Drosophila melanogaster: one gene and its partners. The protein of the gene in region 2 interacts with the protein of the main gene of each other region in a pairwise test. Each region holds a gene or a part of one and is shown on either strand. Other genes may lie near its edges.

Region 1 (6,698 bases), 470 kb from region 2:
CAGCTGGACGAGGACGATGTCTCCCACATCGAAGTACCCTTCTTTGGTCGTGCTCCACCAAGGCGACACAACCAGCTGGGAAAGCTGCGCTCTGTCCACCAACAGGACGACGGAACCATTATGGCCATCTGTGCCACAGGCACCTCCACAAAGGACTCATTGCTCTCGTGGATTCGCCTGTTGGAAGCGAACGGAAATCCCTCCATAGGAGAGGTGCCCGTCCTCTTCCGGTTCACATCCGAAGTGCCAGCCAAGGCGGAGGAAATTGAAGGTGGCGCCAGTGTCCCGGCAACAAGTGATAACAGTAGTCAAGATGAGCACATTAGCAGTAGACAGAAATAAACAAATTGTTGAGCACTTTTTCGTCTTTGTATACCATAGAATTGATGGTAAATGTTGCTTAAAGTTAGTCGGTTTTGATCATATGTACATATATATGTACATCTGCTAGAAGGAAAAAAATTAATACTTCGGTAATTATTTATACTCTTTGGCTCGGACGCGAATTGAAAGCAACATTGTATGCATTTTGGGGTGGATTTTAATGAAATAAGGTTAATTGAGAAGGATTACTCACAACATCCGATTGTGAGCCGAGCTTAAACGAAAAATCACAGAACCCGAAACTAAGTGTACAGAAGATCTGCCTAAGATTTAACGCCTCCCTCTAATTGCTAATTAAGTATATGTACATGTCATCTTTGTTTGAGATATATAGATATGTCATTGGAACTATCCATCTGGCCCGCTTCTCTACTTTATGCCTGTCTTGTTGACCGGAAACACCTGCGTGACAACTCCGATTCCTTTGCTGGTGCCCTCGCGGAACAGGATGCGCATTCCAGGACGCACGTACTCCGGGTGGCCGACGAACTCGAACATCACCGAAGCACAATCGTTTGTGCCCAGTCGCTCGCCGCCCATAATGCCCCGAATGACGGCCGTCTGGCGAATGCTGCCTATGTGGACTGTGGTTTGGAAGCCGACATAGATGGCCGTGGCGTGGAACAGCACGGACACCTTGGCCTGCAAAGGGAAGTTGATGTATTTATTTGGTAACGATAAATGAAAACTAGCAACTCACTTGGAAGAAGAAGGTCCCGTAGGGCTCATCCAGACTATTTCCAATATCACCCAAAAGAACCATGCCACTTCGTAGCGTGGGCACATCCTGATCCATACTGAAAGACAGCGAAGCGCTCTGACCAGCTCGGACAACTCGGCAAGGAGCCTTGTTTCGGTGGATAGTATTAACAGTAACGGGATGAAAGCTACCATCGGGAAGCGGACCAATCTTCATTGCCATATTCTCGGTCAGCACGCCCTGGACAAGTAGACCGCCCACAACGGGTCCGACGTCAGAGACCCGGAAGATCTCGTCCACCTGGAACTCGCAAGACTCCTGCTCGAGTCGATCCTTCTCGGCGTTGCTGATTCCGGGCGAAAGGACGTACAGAAACTTTGTGACTAGGTTGAGTCCCGTGCCGGTCACATTCGATACGCAAAAGATGGGCACAATGTTCTCGGAGATCTGGTTTGACCCGGCGGAGATGGCCTCATCCGTGTTGGTCACCACAAAGGGAACCTTCCGGCACCCAATGGTGGTGAGCAGGTTGCACAACTCCTGTACCGTCGCGTCCGGCGATGTGATATCTGTCTTCGTGACCAATACAAAGAAGGGCATGTCCAGTGCCCGCACGATAGCCAAGTGCTCCTCGGTGGTGTCGTTGCAACCGCTGCCCGCCGATACCACCAGCATGGCGTAGTGGGGTGAGTATCCACTCAGTGCCTGCACGGTGGTGCGCATGTAGCGTCGGTGTCCGGCTAGATCCATGAAGGTAACCAGCTTGCTGGACCTGTCGCTAATCTCCTCTGCCGTCATCATCTCATTGTACTTGTAGTTGACCACATTACCCAGTGCATCGAAGCCAAGCGTCTCGTGGGAGATGCAGGAGGTGCGGCCTTAAGGAAAAGAGGAGCAAATTGGTAATTTTCAAGCAAACAAACCGGACTTTGTGAGTGATAAATATAATTTAAAAAAAAGTTTGTAAACGAGAGATGTATGAATAATGTAGTACAACTGATATATTCCTTATTGATGACAATTTAAAATGGATGCCAAACATCTTAATTTAATTTATATCTGTGTTTAGTGCTTATAACGACATATTACCAGACTGAATCTCGTGCATGTGCCTAAACATATTGAGCCGCGCCCGGCCGTGTCCGTTATCCAGCTCGTCCTGTGTAAGCACGCCCAGCAAAGTGGATTTGCCTGCATCAGCTCCGCCGAGCACCGCCACCCGAACCTCGATGTTGTGCTGGTCGTCGGGGATCTTACGGACCAGTACCTCGGCGACGGCGCGTCGGGCGGCGATGGTCTTTCGCCGCAGCACTGAGGTACTGGCTCCTAGGCTGTGGGCCATCTGCTTGAGCGTGGTGAGCGAGGCATTCATGTCCTTGTCGCTGAGTCCCTGCAGATAGCCGGCGTCGGATACTCCAATCTCGTAGATGGCCTCGCCGTTTCCCTCGCGCAGACGCCACTTCATCTGGGTCACCAGGTGCTCGAATCGCTGCTTCGACGGGTTGACCAGCTTCAGCTTGTACTCCACATTTCCGAGCTGCGGCTCTGGTGGCAGCATTCCCTGCTCGAAGTCGAAGATCAGGTTGCCCCGCTCGGTGGGCATCCCGCTCACTACGCTGCACTCGTTGGCATTGGCGTCCGTCTCATAGTCGCTGCTGCTGCTTCCGCCGCCGCTGCTGTTGCCATTGAGCTCGGGCTCTTCCTCGAAGCCGTCGTCCTGATTGGGATCAAAGAGACTCAGGAAGGACTCCATAATGTGTTGCTGCAAAAGGGAAGCGTGGATCATATAAATACAAAATTCAGATGAGGTAAATGGTAAAAATTCTGTTTAGACAAAGGAACTCTTTGTCTTGAGAAGAAAACATTTTTTGGGCCAATTGCGACATCGAAAATGTACATATGTACATACTTATGTACATACATACAGATTTTCGAACAGCCGTGGCTGAAATAATAGCAATGAGATACATGCATAAGTAAATATTATTTGATTTGTTTACTCATACTGTACTGTATTTAGTCTGAGAATTACCCAATATAATTGGGTTGAAATAACTTTTAATATTGTACTAAAGTTTTTTTAATTTTATTTCGACACCACGTCATTTGTTTCACTTTAAAAACAATTATTTTTCAACTTCTATGTATCTTTTTGATGGAACCGTTTGCTTATGTGTATCCATCAAAACTGAAATTTTCCCCATTTGTTTTTTTGGCCGTCTTTGACTTGCAGCGACCTTGAAAATGCTTGTTTATGTTTGCCACGACTCTGGCCGTTGTTTCGAGCCCACGCGCGGGGGCAGGTGGAACAGAAGGTCGATAATACGACAAGTTCCAAACATCTTACCAGATAATCCCTATATTTGGCTCACTAATCAAACCAATCCGCTCGAGTTTATTCGAGATATTAAGCGCTAAAGCAGCTCCTATTTGCGCGCGACGCTGGCACAAAATATCGATTTTGGCTGCGCTTTTCATTTGCCCAGGTCGAATTTGTTGTTCGTTCGGCTATCTGGGTTCTGAGTGCTGTGCTTTGTAGTTGTAGTTCGTAGTTGTGTGCGTACTTGTGCTCTCCGCTTTTGGGTGCCTTTCGATTTTGTTTATAACCTGCTCCCGATTGTTTTGCTTTGTTGACCGAAGAACAAGCACCTGAATACTTCAAAAGCTTTCGCAATACCTTACCCTAGGGCGTTTGAGTTCTTTCATGGAACGTATTTTTTGTTTAGCAAGTGGGGGTTGAGCTTAAAAAAATTAACTTAGTGAATTTCCACAAGAAGAAAGTTACCTAAATATTTAATGCGGGATGTTATTACGAACCTATTTAATTACTAAAGCTAACGATAAATGGTAAATTTATAGGTTTTAATTCTAATTACTTTATTTTTGCAATTAGAAGGCAGGATATACAATGTTTAATTACGTCACACGCCATTACGTCCTTCGACACTGGAACTATAAAAGTTAACTTTTTCACGATTTTGATGCGAAGCCGCGACGTTTGATAATTTTATTCAACAATTAATGCTTGGCTTTCCACAATTCAAACACACCTCTTTAGTTCTACGATTGTTGTTCAAATAAGGAAACTTAGTTTAAAAACGAACCTTCTTAATTGTGAGATAACTCCCACACAATTAAATTATTACGTTTTATGTAGATACGCAATCTGTGTTGCGTAGCGGATTTCTGATCGACCAGACCCTTTCCTTTTTCGGCGCGTAGTTTTGACAGCTTTTCGCGTCTTGTCCTCGCCGCGTTTGCTTCGCATTTGATTTTCTACACAAGCGCTTTTGTTTTGACCGCGTCAGCTGCGTTATTATTCTCTATCTCTATCTCGAAATTGATTGAGGACGCTTCGCGGAAAGCTCCTTTCCGTTTGAATTCCGGGAAGTAACTGTCGCGTTTACCGAATTCATGCAACCAACAAACAAAAGCTTGGCAAGCATAGAGCGGAATTTCACAAGAAACAAAAATCGCGCTGCGATTTCATCAGCAAAACAAAAATGGAGTCAATGTGCTGCACTTACGCAGTTGCTGATGCAATACTGCGCCACAATGCGCGGATCTTCAATGGTCTCTGTGTGGGTGTTGCTGTTCGTGTTCGATTCACGTTGCCATGGCAATTTTGCACTCATGTGGGTTAAGCACTCACAACACACTTCAAATTTCGGGGACGCCAAAGTTGCGCCAGCAATCCAATCAATTATTATAAACCATAAACTTCCTACATTTTGTGACTCCGACAAACAGATGTTTATGCTCGCCACGCGTTAGTCCCTTTTGGACACTGACCTATCCAGTTGCTGCGCACCCTTACCAACACTGGCTGACGGGGCGTCCATTGTGAACGGCACACATTTTTCAAATTTAAATAGTAACGTATTTTTAACAATAAATGGGGTTGCGAAGGCGGTCATCTGCATGTCCTACATTTCCATACTTTACTTTAGTACTTTAGTGTTGAGAATTCGTTTTGGTAAATTTTACTCAAATAAGTTTATTAGCCAGCATAGAACTTAATTCCAATCTCGATGGAGCTATCTTGCAAGCTCAAAAACATCTGCTTTGCTACAAAATAATTTTGTATTGGTATCAAAAAATCATTCAAATGAGTGAAGATATGGTAACGTTTTTAGATTGCTAAAAAAAGAATTTAGGAAACCTTGTGCCTCCCAGCAATGAAAATACAACTCGAATTGCTTTAATTCAAACTCAATGTATTCTCATTAATATATTTACGTTTTATTCCTTATCATTAACATTATTACTTTATCACAAATATTTTAAGCATTTTTACATATGTAGTCAGTTACAATGATGTGTATATGTATGTATGTCTGTCTGTTTTCGGGACTTGGGCTTGCATGTATGTATGTACATCGTTGACCTCTCTGAGGCTCATAAAATAGTATCTGCTGACCTCGACATGGATCATGGGGATGTCGTGATGCTACAGGTTGTTGGGGATCGTTTTAAAATTGCACTACTGGCACTCGATTTTGGTTATCTACAGCGGGGACCTTTACTATATATGTATAAACTTGGAGGAAGTTTACGATTTGCTCTACCAGTTACCTGGATGCTATAACTTTTACATTTAAACATTATGACATTACATTGATTTTACTAATCGCTATCGATGACTTAGCATATACATTTCTTTTTTTCAATTACGTTTTTTCGATAGAAAGTCAAGAACTGAATCGCCCAACTGATATGACAAACGTTAGAACACTTATAGTCGTTTAGCCCTTGTCTTGAGTATGATATAGTCGTATAGCATTTCCGATGTGCTAATGCCTTGATAACAATTGCCAATGAAAGGGGGATGATAGGGTGGTGGGGGGGTGGGGGCTACGCTCCCCTCTTGAACTGCCCCAATCCTGCGAGCTGGGCCGACCCATTCAATATCCAATAAATAATGCTCAAGAATACATTCGTTGTGTATGTGTGTGTGTGTGTGCGTGCTCAGGTCCAACTGGTTGGCGTTCGTCAATGAGGTGTCTGTCTGTCGGAATTGGCCGGAATCGGGCCCATCAAATGGCCATCTGGAAGTGGAACTCCGTGCCTTTTATCCCTCTTATCGCTCGACCCGCATAAATCATTTTATTAGCTTATTAAAAAGTTTTCCATTTATTGTCATCGTTTTGCGCTATCGTGCGCACAAATCCGTGCCCAGTTCTATATACCCATTCATTTGGGATGGGGTACTCCGGATTGGTGATTCGGCCGGCAGCATGGATTGGGATATTTTTCTAAACTTTTCTTTATTGCTCACTTGTTGGCTGGCCCCGCTGCTAATGCCAGTGGAGCCGGAGCGGTAGCGGGAGCGGGAGCAACTGCTGTGACCATTAAATTCAAATCTGGTGCTGTTTTTGGCGCGTGTTTAAAAGTTAAATAATGACCAGCACTGGGCACGCAATGGCGCAAGACGTGTCCAATATAACTTTGCCTTTTTTCGGGTCGGCCCGACTTTGATCTCGTTTGCGGGAGGGCAGTTCAAATAGTGCGTCTGCGGCAGGAGGGGCTATGTTTTCCGGGGGATGTGTTCTTCTCACTTTAGCCGGGACAAACAGATTCAACAACGAGTTTCGAGTTGGAGAGCCCTGCTCCC
Region 2 (3,796 bases):
TAATTTTCTTGGGCTTGTCTAAATTTGGCTCACAATACATTTCCGCTATTCGAAAAATTTTTAATAAAATCAAGTTGCACACTGCAAACACGGTTAATTAATTCAAGTAACATGAGTATTGTTTTAAAAAAAGTTTACCTGCTTTAAGTTCAAGGAAAAATATAATTGGGATGGGAAAGAAGATCATTAAAGGGCCTATTTCCTTTTATTCCTTTATACTCGGTATTCTTGTTTATAATTATACTTACAATTTGAAAATTAGGTGGCACTTTAAATATCAAATAATGACTTATTACTAAAACTAATTTAGGGTTTCTATTGGAAGAAATTAAGCCAATTGGTGTTCACCAGGATATCCTTTTAAGCTCAAATACATATAACAAAAAATTGAGAATTGGTAATTTTCATCTGCAACTACTTTAAAACTACAGCCAGGAAATTATCAATGTTCCGATTGTTTCTCCGATTTACAACATTTACCTTGATCTATTGCAATATCGAACGTTTTAGAAATATATTCACCTAGATCTGAACGTTCAAGAGCATTATTATGTGAATGGGATCTTTCTTTTTCCCATAATTTTAATAATAATAATAATAATTCATCGCGTTATTTGTTGGTACATCAAAACTGCACTGTGAGAGCACTAACATTTAGCACAAATGACTTAAATCTAGAAACTGTGCATAAAAAGGTTAGTAATATTTTTTTAATTGCTTACCGCAGTCCCATTTACGGAGTCTCATGAAACTCTCCGCAGACCATAATGTTTTTTCATTAAGATGCAATTAACTTCAAGGTTCAGTTATTTGCAAATCAATTACAGAAAATCGGTGGTTAACGGCTATTCCATTTTGTGATTTTGGTTACCGATCTATTTTCACTCTATTTAAATCTTCCATACAATTTATTTCGTAATAACGCAGAAGTCATACAGCAGTTTTGATTTAATTTTTGATGCCCTACATCACAGGAGATCCATTAAACAATTAACTTCAAACATATCTCAGCATTCATTCAATTCATTCATTCATTCAATTCTATGCAAATGTTCTTACAATTGGAAGGTAAATATTAATACATATTAAAGAACGAATCAAAGCGACTCGATTCACAATGGAGAATGAAATGAAATGGTATTTCTTCAGCTTCCGTGGTCAGCAAGTGCATTTGACTGCCCCCCGTGGGTACAAACGAGTATCCAATCTGCTGGGTGAGTGGTATTTTAATTGGGTTTCCAGGCACGCACCTCGGATTGCTGGGCACTTGATTTTACGAGCGGATCCCCGGCCGTCGATGCAGAAGAAGCCATCAAATAACTTTCAATTATGTGCGGCCCATTATGGCGCGTATTATGCGGGAAATCGTCGCAATGAGGAATTCCTACTCCTCCCACAAAGAGAACAGCGTGCCCATAAAACGTTCGCCTGACCCAATAGACTAGAGTATCGAAATAGAATCAGAGGCCAGAAGCACAGCTAGGGCCATACCTGCACAAAGGTGAAACTCAGGTGGTCAACTTGCGCTTTCCATGACTTTGACAACAAAGCGAAATGGTCGCTAAAGCTGGAGCCCAAAGCGGTGGGCAGAAAAAGAGCTCCGTGCGTACCTGGCATACGCAATTCAATTAGCAAAGTACCGTCGTATAAAAACCAAGCGGTTCCCATGCGACATTTGCATAACCCGCTGAGTGGCCAACGCGTGCGCACCACCAAACCACCTGACCACCGGACCATCGAACCAGAGTGAGAGTTGAGGACTAACCGTCGTCGAAAGGATGAAGAGCACCGCCGCTTGTCTGATAGTCGCCCTTGCGGCGCTGTCCACCGCCCACTCGGCGCCCACCGAAGGTCAGGTGGCGCCCCAGTCCGCCACGCAACTAGCCCTGGACATGTACCATGGCTGCCTTAAGGACCTCAGTGTTTCCTGCGTGCGTCCCAAGGCCCTGCAGTGGTTCAACTCTGCCCTCCGGCAGCCGGAGGTGCGCATCACCGAGCGCCTGTCGATTGTCCGTACCGCGGAGAAGGTCGAGTCCCGATCCATGAACCCGGAGGAGCGCCTCTTCGACGACATCGACAGCTATCTGGGCAGCCACTCGCTGAGGATCCAGGCTCCGGAGTACTTCCGCACCTCGGAAGCCCGCTCCCTGGTGCCCGACTTCCTCATGTCGAATCCGCTTACTCAGGGAGGATTAGTTCCCCTGGCAGCTGCTAACGAAGGTAAGAACTCAAGATCTAAGTCAGATAAAAAAGTAATGATGACGATCCAAAACGAGCTTACGTTTTTTCAAAATAACATTCAATTCGCAACACAGTGTCAGAAACAAGTGTTGATACTAATTATTGAAATGCCACTCTTGTGTTTAATAGAAATCGTTAAACTAATTTGAATATGACAAATGGCATTATCAAAAATTTCAAAAATGTTTAGGGTTTATGCAAATCAGCATACAAATATTTGGATTTTTACCACTTGTGATAAATCTAATCTGTATTTTTCCTACTTTTCCAGGACGTGGCATGATCCGCAAGGCAGTTCTGCCCTTCCTTCTGGGCCTGAAACTGAAGACCACTGTGCTGGTGCCACTGGCCTTGGGACTCATTGCCCTAAAGACCTGGAAGGCCATGACCTTGGGCCTGCTCTCATTGGTGCTGTCTGGAGCCTTGGTTATTTTCAAGATTGCCAAGCCCAAGATTGTCAACTACGAGGTGGTGCACTATCCCCATCACGTGGATCATGTGGTGCCGCATCACATTGAGCACGTGGTGCCCCACCACATCGAGCACGTGGTGCCCCACCACATCGAGCACATAGTGCCGCATCACATCGATCATCATCTGGAGCACCACATCGATCACCACGTGGATCTGCCCGTGGAGCACATCGAGCACCTGGAGCACCCATCGCCCGCCTGGGATCCTCATGCCTGGGCCCGATCCTCGCAAGAGCCGCAGGATGCCCAGGACTTGGCCTACGCGGGTCAGAAGTGAACATGGGTCTAGAGACCAAAACCCCCCTTACGAAATTCGGCCAAACTGTAACCTTATTTATTTCGTTCTAAGTTAAGTAGCTGAAACACACCGCTCTCGGCGTATTGTTTATTTATTTATTTATTGAGAAGTGTACAAAGCAAAGACCACAAAAAGAACCAAACCCCCAAGGCGTTTTAAAAAGGTACTAAGTGGGAATTAGCTCTGGTGTCCCTTTGTGTAAATATTACTGCAATAAAAACATGCAAAAACGATGTGCCTAATTGAAAACTTTTTTGGAAGTACCAACCCCTCAGCGAAGTGGCTAATTATCCCCAAAACTTTTCTAATGCGAGGAGTTTCACTTTGGGGGTCTGTTGAATTAACCCAGGAGATTCCGGCAAATGAAATGCCACAGAATAATGAGTGCAACTTCTGGCCAAAGTGCCTGATAAAAATGCCAATGAGCACTTTTAGAAAACTCTGCAGAGTAAGGGGAAGCCACAGAGGAATCCTTAATGAAATGCACACATTTTTATATGCCACGTGGAAAAAGATGCTTTGTCCTAGAAATACACTGCGAAAAGAAAGTGTTTCTTTCCTTATTATGTAGCTTTGAAACGTGTACTATGATCAAGATAAGGAATGGATTGCGTTTCCCCATCCTAACGATAGGCTGAACCTTTTCATTAAGTTTTATTATCTGTTTTGATAGAAATGGAAATCCATCTCATTTGTGGGAATGTAAGTATTTCATTTTCTTTACATACTTTCAGGGGATTGGATGCCTGTCGCCACGGGGTACAAAATCAACCTGAAAGCCAAG
Region 3 (3,381 bases), on a different chromosome or scaffold from region 2:
CTGCTGCGCAGCGTCAACCACATCGTAGAGAAGCGCACCCACTACGAACAGAACGGAGAACTGGCCGGCCAGGTCACGCTCGATGGCAAGGAGCTGGCGCTGAAAATGGTGGGCTTCCGGGACCACAGCTTCGGCACCGAGCGCTGCCTAAGCTCCATCAACCGGTACGTGTACTTTGCCCTCTTTATGGACGATGGCAGCAGCATGGTGGTGGGCAGCCTCAGTCAGCCGTCCTTCTTCCTGTCCTCCCTGAAGGTGGGCTACGTGTGCAGCCCCGAGCGGCAGTATCAGCCGCTGACCGGGAGCAACTTCGAGCTGTACTCGTACGGCGAAAAGGGAACGCCGCCGCAGCACCAGAATTTCATTGTGCGCACCGAGGAGCGGGAGTACCTCGTGCAAATCCAGGTGGAGGCCTCCGCGCTGCGCTACGTCGGCGGCGACTGGGAGTCTAAGGTGTTCAACCAGTTTGTGGCCTGCACGGTCAACGGAGTTCCCGGCCAGGGCCACGCCGAGTTCCTGTACCGCCACAAGGGCGGCAGGCCGGAGGATATATCGTCCGGGGACCCCGGCTGGTACCAGGACATCAAGCGCTTCGAGAGAAGCCTCTCGTTGCTGGAAGAGGAGGGCCAGGACGAAGACTTCATCTTCTAGGACGCCGACGAATTGTTTTTGTTTTCAGTTTAAGATAGCATGTAAAAGTATGGGGGAGACCCATCCTATCAAAATAAAGAGATTTTGTTTGAATGACATTCGAGATTCTGAAGTCATTGGCCGCGCTGATGTCATCGGTAAGTCCAAACTAATTCAGTTAACCAACAATCCAACAGCAATATCCACTGGAGGCCATCCGGTGCAGCTGCAATCTGGTGGACTCGGGTCGATGAGGAAGATTACCGAATCGCTGGTGGAGGAATTGGACCCCCCGTGAGGATTAGTCGCCCATAAATTAGCATGCGACAGACGAACGGATTAGATTGGACAGCTACTTCGGTTTTTCTCCCAATAAATAATGGCGATTCGGGCCATCGGTTTATGGCACCCAAAAGACAACGGGCCCCACTTATCGCTCCGTCGGGCCAATAAAACCCAAGACCAGGCACCAAGACTGGGCCCAAGTGCCCAGGTGTCGCAGATAAGAGGCGAGCGGCGGGGCAGATAGCTTCAATCCAACAAAATAAACCATGCTCGGGATCTGAATGGAGCATTATGCTGCCGTCCGGTTCCGACCTGCCGCAATGTCAGCTTATGGTGGGCCGATAAGTGCCGGGCATGACCCTCCCTTCAGTGTCCAGTCCACAGCCCATATCTGGGCTCATGAGCAGGTAGCTCCGATAACGCAACCGCCGACAGATATTGGCCACCGATTTGCCCGGAATTCGGCAAATCATGCACTGTTTCTGGAATTCGCCTTCATTAATTATGCACGTAACTCTGAAGTGGTATTCCTCGTAGGCGAAATTATTTGTTAGATTACGCAGTTATTGTAATCAAAAATGCGATTGCTTCTGGGCAAATCCAAGGAATCATCAGCCGAATTTTCGTTCCCAGTAGTAGGCCGGTTTCTGTGGAAATCAAGGAACAGCTTTGATCTAGCATAGTAGTTTCCAAGTGCCCAGTCGCAGAGCTGGAATATACTTGTAGATTTATATACATATATGTTGCCAAATTTCGAAGTTATTGCACCGAATTGCACAATGATTGGGATGGCTGACAGCGCGGAGGGGGTTACCCAGGAAGACAGCCACACGGAGTCGAGGGCAGACGGCATCAGCGGGTCCTTGCGCTCCCTGGGCACATATACCCAGGAGTCCACAGAGCCGGCTTTGAGTCCGGCGGACCTTCCCGCCCGCAGCCGGAAGGCCTTTCTGCGGCACATGATCGGCCAGCTGGCGGAGCCCGTGCAGAACCGCATACGGGCACTGCGGCACAATCAGCTGCAACAGGTACGCATTTCGGAGCAGTTCTTCCGGGAAGTCTACGAGCTGGAGCGACGTTTCTACGGCCAGAGCTGCGCGCTCTTCGATGCGAGGCGGGATATTTTGGAGGGTTCGGTGGAGCCACCGATCCAAACGGAGAAGACCTGGCCCGAGGACCCGCAGGATGCTCTGTACCTGGACTTCGGGAACAACGAGGAGCTGCGACAGCTGAGGCAAAAACTGGCTCCGGTTTCGCCGACTACGCTGGGTGTTCCACGCTTTTGGCTGACAGTTTTCCAGAACGTGCCCCTGCTCTCGGAGTTGGTCCAGGATCACGACGAGCCGCTTCTGGAGAGCCTAATGGATGTGCGCCTGGCTTACGACCAGGACAGCTACATGGTCATCTTTCAGTTTCGGCCCAATAGCTTCCTGCACGATTCCTCGCTGCTGCTCACGAAGCGCTACTTTCTGCAGCACTCGGCGGACCCGGAGTATCCCTTTCTGTTCGAAGGGCCCGAAATAGTTCGTTGCGAAGGCTGCCACATCCACTGGCGCGATGGCTCCAATCTCACTCTCCAAACGGTGGAAAGCAGGCGAAGGAACAGAGCACACCGAGTCACCAAGGTCATGCCTCGGGAGTCCTTCTTTCGCTTCTTTGCTCCGCCGCAGGCCTTGGACCTGTCGCTCGCGGATGAAAAGACCAAGCTGATCCTTGGCAACGATTTCGAAGTGGGCTTCCTGCTACGCACCCAAATCGTCCCGAAGGCGGTGCTCTTTTACACGGGCGACCTAGTTGACAGCCTGAGCGCGGCCTCTCCGGACAGTCGCTCCTTGTCCTCGGAGGCGGAACAGGAGCAGGTCTTGTGAGTGCGACGCGACTAGCTGTTTGCTAAACAAAATTTACAAGTGAATGTGGTAATGATTTCTTATTAAATTCTACAGTTCGGCCAAAGCCAGTTCATCACAAATAAGGTGAACCCCTTCCCCTCCTAGCGCTACTTAAAAATGCTGGTGTAGTACTCCTCCTCCAGGTCGTACAAGTCCATGGCCATTTCGTCCCTAAGTTTCATCAGCTTCTTGTCGCACTCGCTCTGTGTGTTCCTGAACAGCTGCGAATTGTTTGTGATGGCCTCGTTGACCGAGTGAAAGTCGTTGAGGATTAGGTACTGTTTTAGGTCGGCCACCAGCTTCATCAGAGACTCGCCGGCACGGACTATAAAGCGGAATGCATGAAGGAAATGGCTCGAATCTGGTTCCCAGGGAGTGGATTTACTCACCCATGTTGGCCGCGCGGACCTGCATTTCCAGGGCATCCTGTTCGCACTGCGTGGTCTTCGAAATCTGGCTGTGGCTCTCACGGCGCGCCAGCTTGAGTATTTCTGGAGGAGAACACGGTATTACAATCTATTGCTCGGAGCAACTGAGCCGCACTTACCTTCAAAATTCTCCAGCATGCTGCGAACGT
Region 4 (3,168 bases), on a different chromosome or scaffold from region 2:
GTGGAGATCGTAGGAAGGGAGAGATCGGAGCGGAGCGGACGCGGACTGGCGGTCGACCTCAGTCGGAGCTGGTCAAGTGAGTGCTTTGTGAAAGTCGTTCTTGCAAAACTTCGGCTTAATTGCCGCCTTTGGGAGACCGGCCCAAGGTCAAGTGCAACTGCAAATTACAGTCTTGCAGTGGGATTAACTAATGGAGCAATGATCCAATCGAACCTATCACATTCCCGACCAATTCACCTGAAATATGCGTGCAATCATTGCTTTATTTATAATCAATATAGCATTGCCCCATTTTTTTTGCTCTTTTTTGGCAGTGTGTGAAAAAAGTGCAACTCACGAAAGTAATTTTACAAACAAATGTAATGGGAAGTGATTATGGGAAACTTATTGCATGAAAAGGAATATTCGAATTCTTGGAATCCAAAACGATTGAACCAAATGAGATGAGATATAGTTATTTCGGTACTCTACGATGATTATTCCACTTAAAATGCAGATCGATTTGTAAAAATTCAAGTACTTTATTGCTACAATCACAGTACAATTTATTACTTGGCAATGGATCACATTCAGATGAAGAGAGGTCCTCCTAAGGCGGCGTAAAAAGAGTACGCCACTAGCCAGGAATAAAGGCAAATAACTGAAGCAATGGGGAAAAATTAAGGGATTGTGAAATCTTAGATACACTTAGCTACTTACAGAACATTATAGCATACGTGATCATTACCCAGAAACAAACGGCGAGTATGACGTCGGATACTATCAATATGAGCATTGCTACCGCCATGATCATAGTCATTATTATGTAGAAGAGCATCCAGCTGCTCCGTAACTAGATCAAATCATAAGTATTATAATTTGAAACTAATCAATTGTACTGGTATCTCACCCGTATACTGCCGATGATCAGGAAAACGCAGCTCAGGATGTGCAGCATAACGAAGATAATGAATAGGGTGTGACCCAAATCGGGAATACCTATGGGTGTTAGGATCATATCCTTGCTCTCAAGTATCCTGCTTCACTTACCCGACTCCCCAAATAAAGCAACAAATGTGCCTCCAAGGATATCCGCTATAATGTGCAAAATCCCTATTGCTATGGTTCCGATTCGCAGATCCACGCAGCAGCAGCAACTCTGTAGATATATCATGGTGCAAATGTGGTAGTGTGTCTATTTGTGGCTATTTGCTATCAGGGTATTAGTATTTGAGTATCTGAGTATATGGGGTTTTTATTTTATGTGTACAAGTTCTGTCACTGATAACAAAAATCTTTTGAAAAATATTACTTAACAAGTAGGTTATATTCTACCATCTTATATAGTATATAAATATAGAGATAAGCAAGTTTCGAGTCTTCAAAAGTAACCATCTATCCTAATCGCAACAACTTAAAAAGCCTCAAATAACAAAATCGTTATTTCATTCCCATTAAAAGTATTTGGTTTATTAGATTACTTGTGAGCCATCAAACACTAAGGTTCCACTTCAGGGAATCCTGCCATAAATACGCCAGGATTGTTCTGTGTACAGTCGAATTGTGATTTATTTACATTCATTAACTTAGCATTGTACAGTATTTACAGGCTGCTTCAGATGGGACTGGCTGAGTGGGTGGGTTTGAAGACAAGCAGGCCAGCGGGCAGATGGCTTACAGCCAGCCGTGTCCGTGGTGGGAGCTCCAGCCGTGGTGGTCGTGGTGGTCATCGAAGACATGGTGCACCGGGATCTCCTCGTGATGGACGTGGTGCACCGGCACGGGGATCTCCTCGTGGTGGACGTGGTGCACGGGCACCTCCTTGTAAATGGGCACCGGCACGTGCTTCACCACCGGCACATGGACCTTCTGAACGTGATGGTGGTGCACCGTGTGCACCTTGTAGGGCACGTGGATGGTGTGGTGCTCGCTGCGGATCGAAAGTGAAATCGGTTAGATCGAATGCCATGTACCATCGCCTGTTAGCTAATCAGTTGCTTGAACCCAGCGTCTTGGCAGACATGGCTATTGCATATTGGCTATTGGCAATTGGCAATTGATTCGCACAATTATGCGCGCATTACGCTGAATTAAATGCCAACCGCCGCCTGCGAAATTCCTAAGCCGCGAGCCAAGCCAAGTCGAGATCGGCTAAGTTCAATGGTAGCCAGTGGTGGGCACCATATAGAGACTGCTGGAGGGGGCTGGGGCTCTAAGTGCTACAAGCGTTTTGATTGCTCAATTCGATCGCAATCGGACACATATTTCATAGACCCACGGAGCAGTCGCAGCGTTTAAAAAGCCATGCGACCGCTCGTTAGCTTAGCATAAAGCGGGAAATGGGTATTTTTATCGATTCGCTCGGGTTATTTATGGATCAGTTCAGGTGCAGATCGCCGCCGATACTCACTGTTTGCCAAAGAAGCCGGGACTGGGTGCGCAGTAGGCCACGGCGAAGAGGGCGACGAAGATCTGAAAGGGGATAAGGAAGTTAGTAAGTTAGGTCCGGCTAGATTAACGCAAATAGCTAACTAATCAGTGTGATTAGTTTTAATTTGGCACTTCAAAATTTATGTTCAATTCTGGTGAAATCTAAGTAATCTAATGAAATGTTAGTCCGCGATTGATAAACATAAACTAATATTTTTGGGTGAATTTATATTTCTGCAAAATAAATGCTTTCGCAGTTTCTTGAAATATCTATTCGAGACTTTTTAAGCCATCAGGCGATCTTGGTGGTATATTTCCAATACTTCGGTTATCGAAGTCAGTTTTCAGTGAGTTTGTTATGTTTCAGTTGGTTAGTTTTATTCACGATAGTCCACATGAGTTTAATCCTTTTCAGCTCCATTCCGCGGAGGTTTGGCTTAACACTTTTTCGAACGTTATCCTTGTCGCACTTACGAATACTTTCAGGACGGACATGGTGGCTGGGCTGAGCTCTGCTGCACTCGAAAGGCGATACTAAAACCGGAGCACTGTCAGGTGGTGACTGATAACCACAGGCTGCGACTCATCCGTTTTATACCGGGCGCCAGCAGCGCTTTGTGTTGTTGCTGCAAGCCGACTGCGCTGCACGAGAAAGACGTGACGTCGGTGCAGCAACAACAGCAGCAGCAGCAGCAGCAACAACAGCAGCAGCAACTTCAACGGCCAAGCGAAAATAAGCATAACAGTGGACGCGCGACT

What was found.
Region 1: the proteins of Osi18 (region 2) and CG2017 interact in a two-hybrid assay, tested with the Drosophila melanogaster proteins (one large-scale study listed by BioGRID).
Region 3: the proteins of Osi18 (region 2) and CG3708 interact in a two-hybrid assay, tested with the Drosophila melanogaster proteins (one large-scale study listed by BioGRID).
Region 4: the proteins of Osi18 (region 2) and CG43183 interact in a two-hybrid assay, tested with the Drosophila melanogaster proteins (one large-scale study listed by BioGRID).

Annotation. Positions count from the first base shown.
Region 1 is NT_033777.3:5,857,559-5,864,256, forward strand, and holds CG2017 (uncharacterized protein), read right to left. Parts: upstream 4,848-6,698; 5' UTR 4,720-4,847; coding exon 4,612-4,719; intron 4,345-4,611; exon of another isoform or gene 4,189-4,344; intron 3,747-4,188; exon of another isoform or gene 3,432-3,746; intron 2,847-3,431; coding exon 2,174-2,846; intron 1,963-2,173; coding exon 1,085-1,962; exon of another isoform or gene 1,027-1,084; coding exon 754-1,026; 3' UTR 525-753; downstream 1-524. Other genes in the region: ECSIT, read left to right, coding at 1-342.
Region 2 is NT_033777.3:6,328,573-6,332,368, forward strand, and holds Osi18 (osiris 18), read left to right. Parts: upstream 1-1,675; 5' UTR 1,676-1,778; coding exon 1,779-2,220; intron 2,221-2,512; coding exon 2,513-2,991; 3' UTR 2,992-3,237; downstream 3,238-3,796.
Region 3 is NC_004354.4:928,298-931,678, reverse strand, and holds CG3708 (uncharacterized protein), read left to right. Parts: upstream 1-1,580; 5' UTR 1,581-1,694; coding exon 1,695-2,783; 3' UTR 2,784-2,881; downstream 2,882-3,381. Other genes in the region: CG3706 (uncharacterized protein), read left to right, coding at 1-651; MED22 (mediator complex subunit 22), read right to left, coding at 2,912-3,129, 3,194-3,295, 3,352-3,381.
Region 4 is NT_033778.4:8,590,306-8,593,473, reverse strand, and holds CG43183 (uncharacterized protein), read right to left. Parts: upstream 1,280-3,168; 5' UTR 1,154-1,279; coding exon 1,030-1,153; intron 979-1,029; coding exon 890-978; intron 833-889; coding exon 700-832; intron 641-699; coding exon 570-640; 3' UTR 505-569; downstream 1-504. Other genes in the region: CG14752 (uncharacterized protein), read right to left, coding at 1,654-1,909, 2,390-2,451, 2,884-2,904.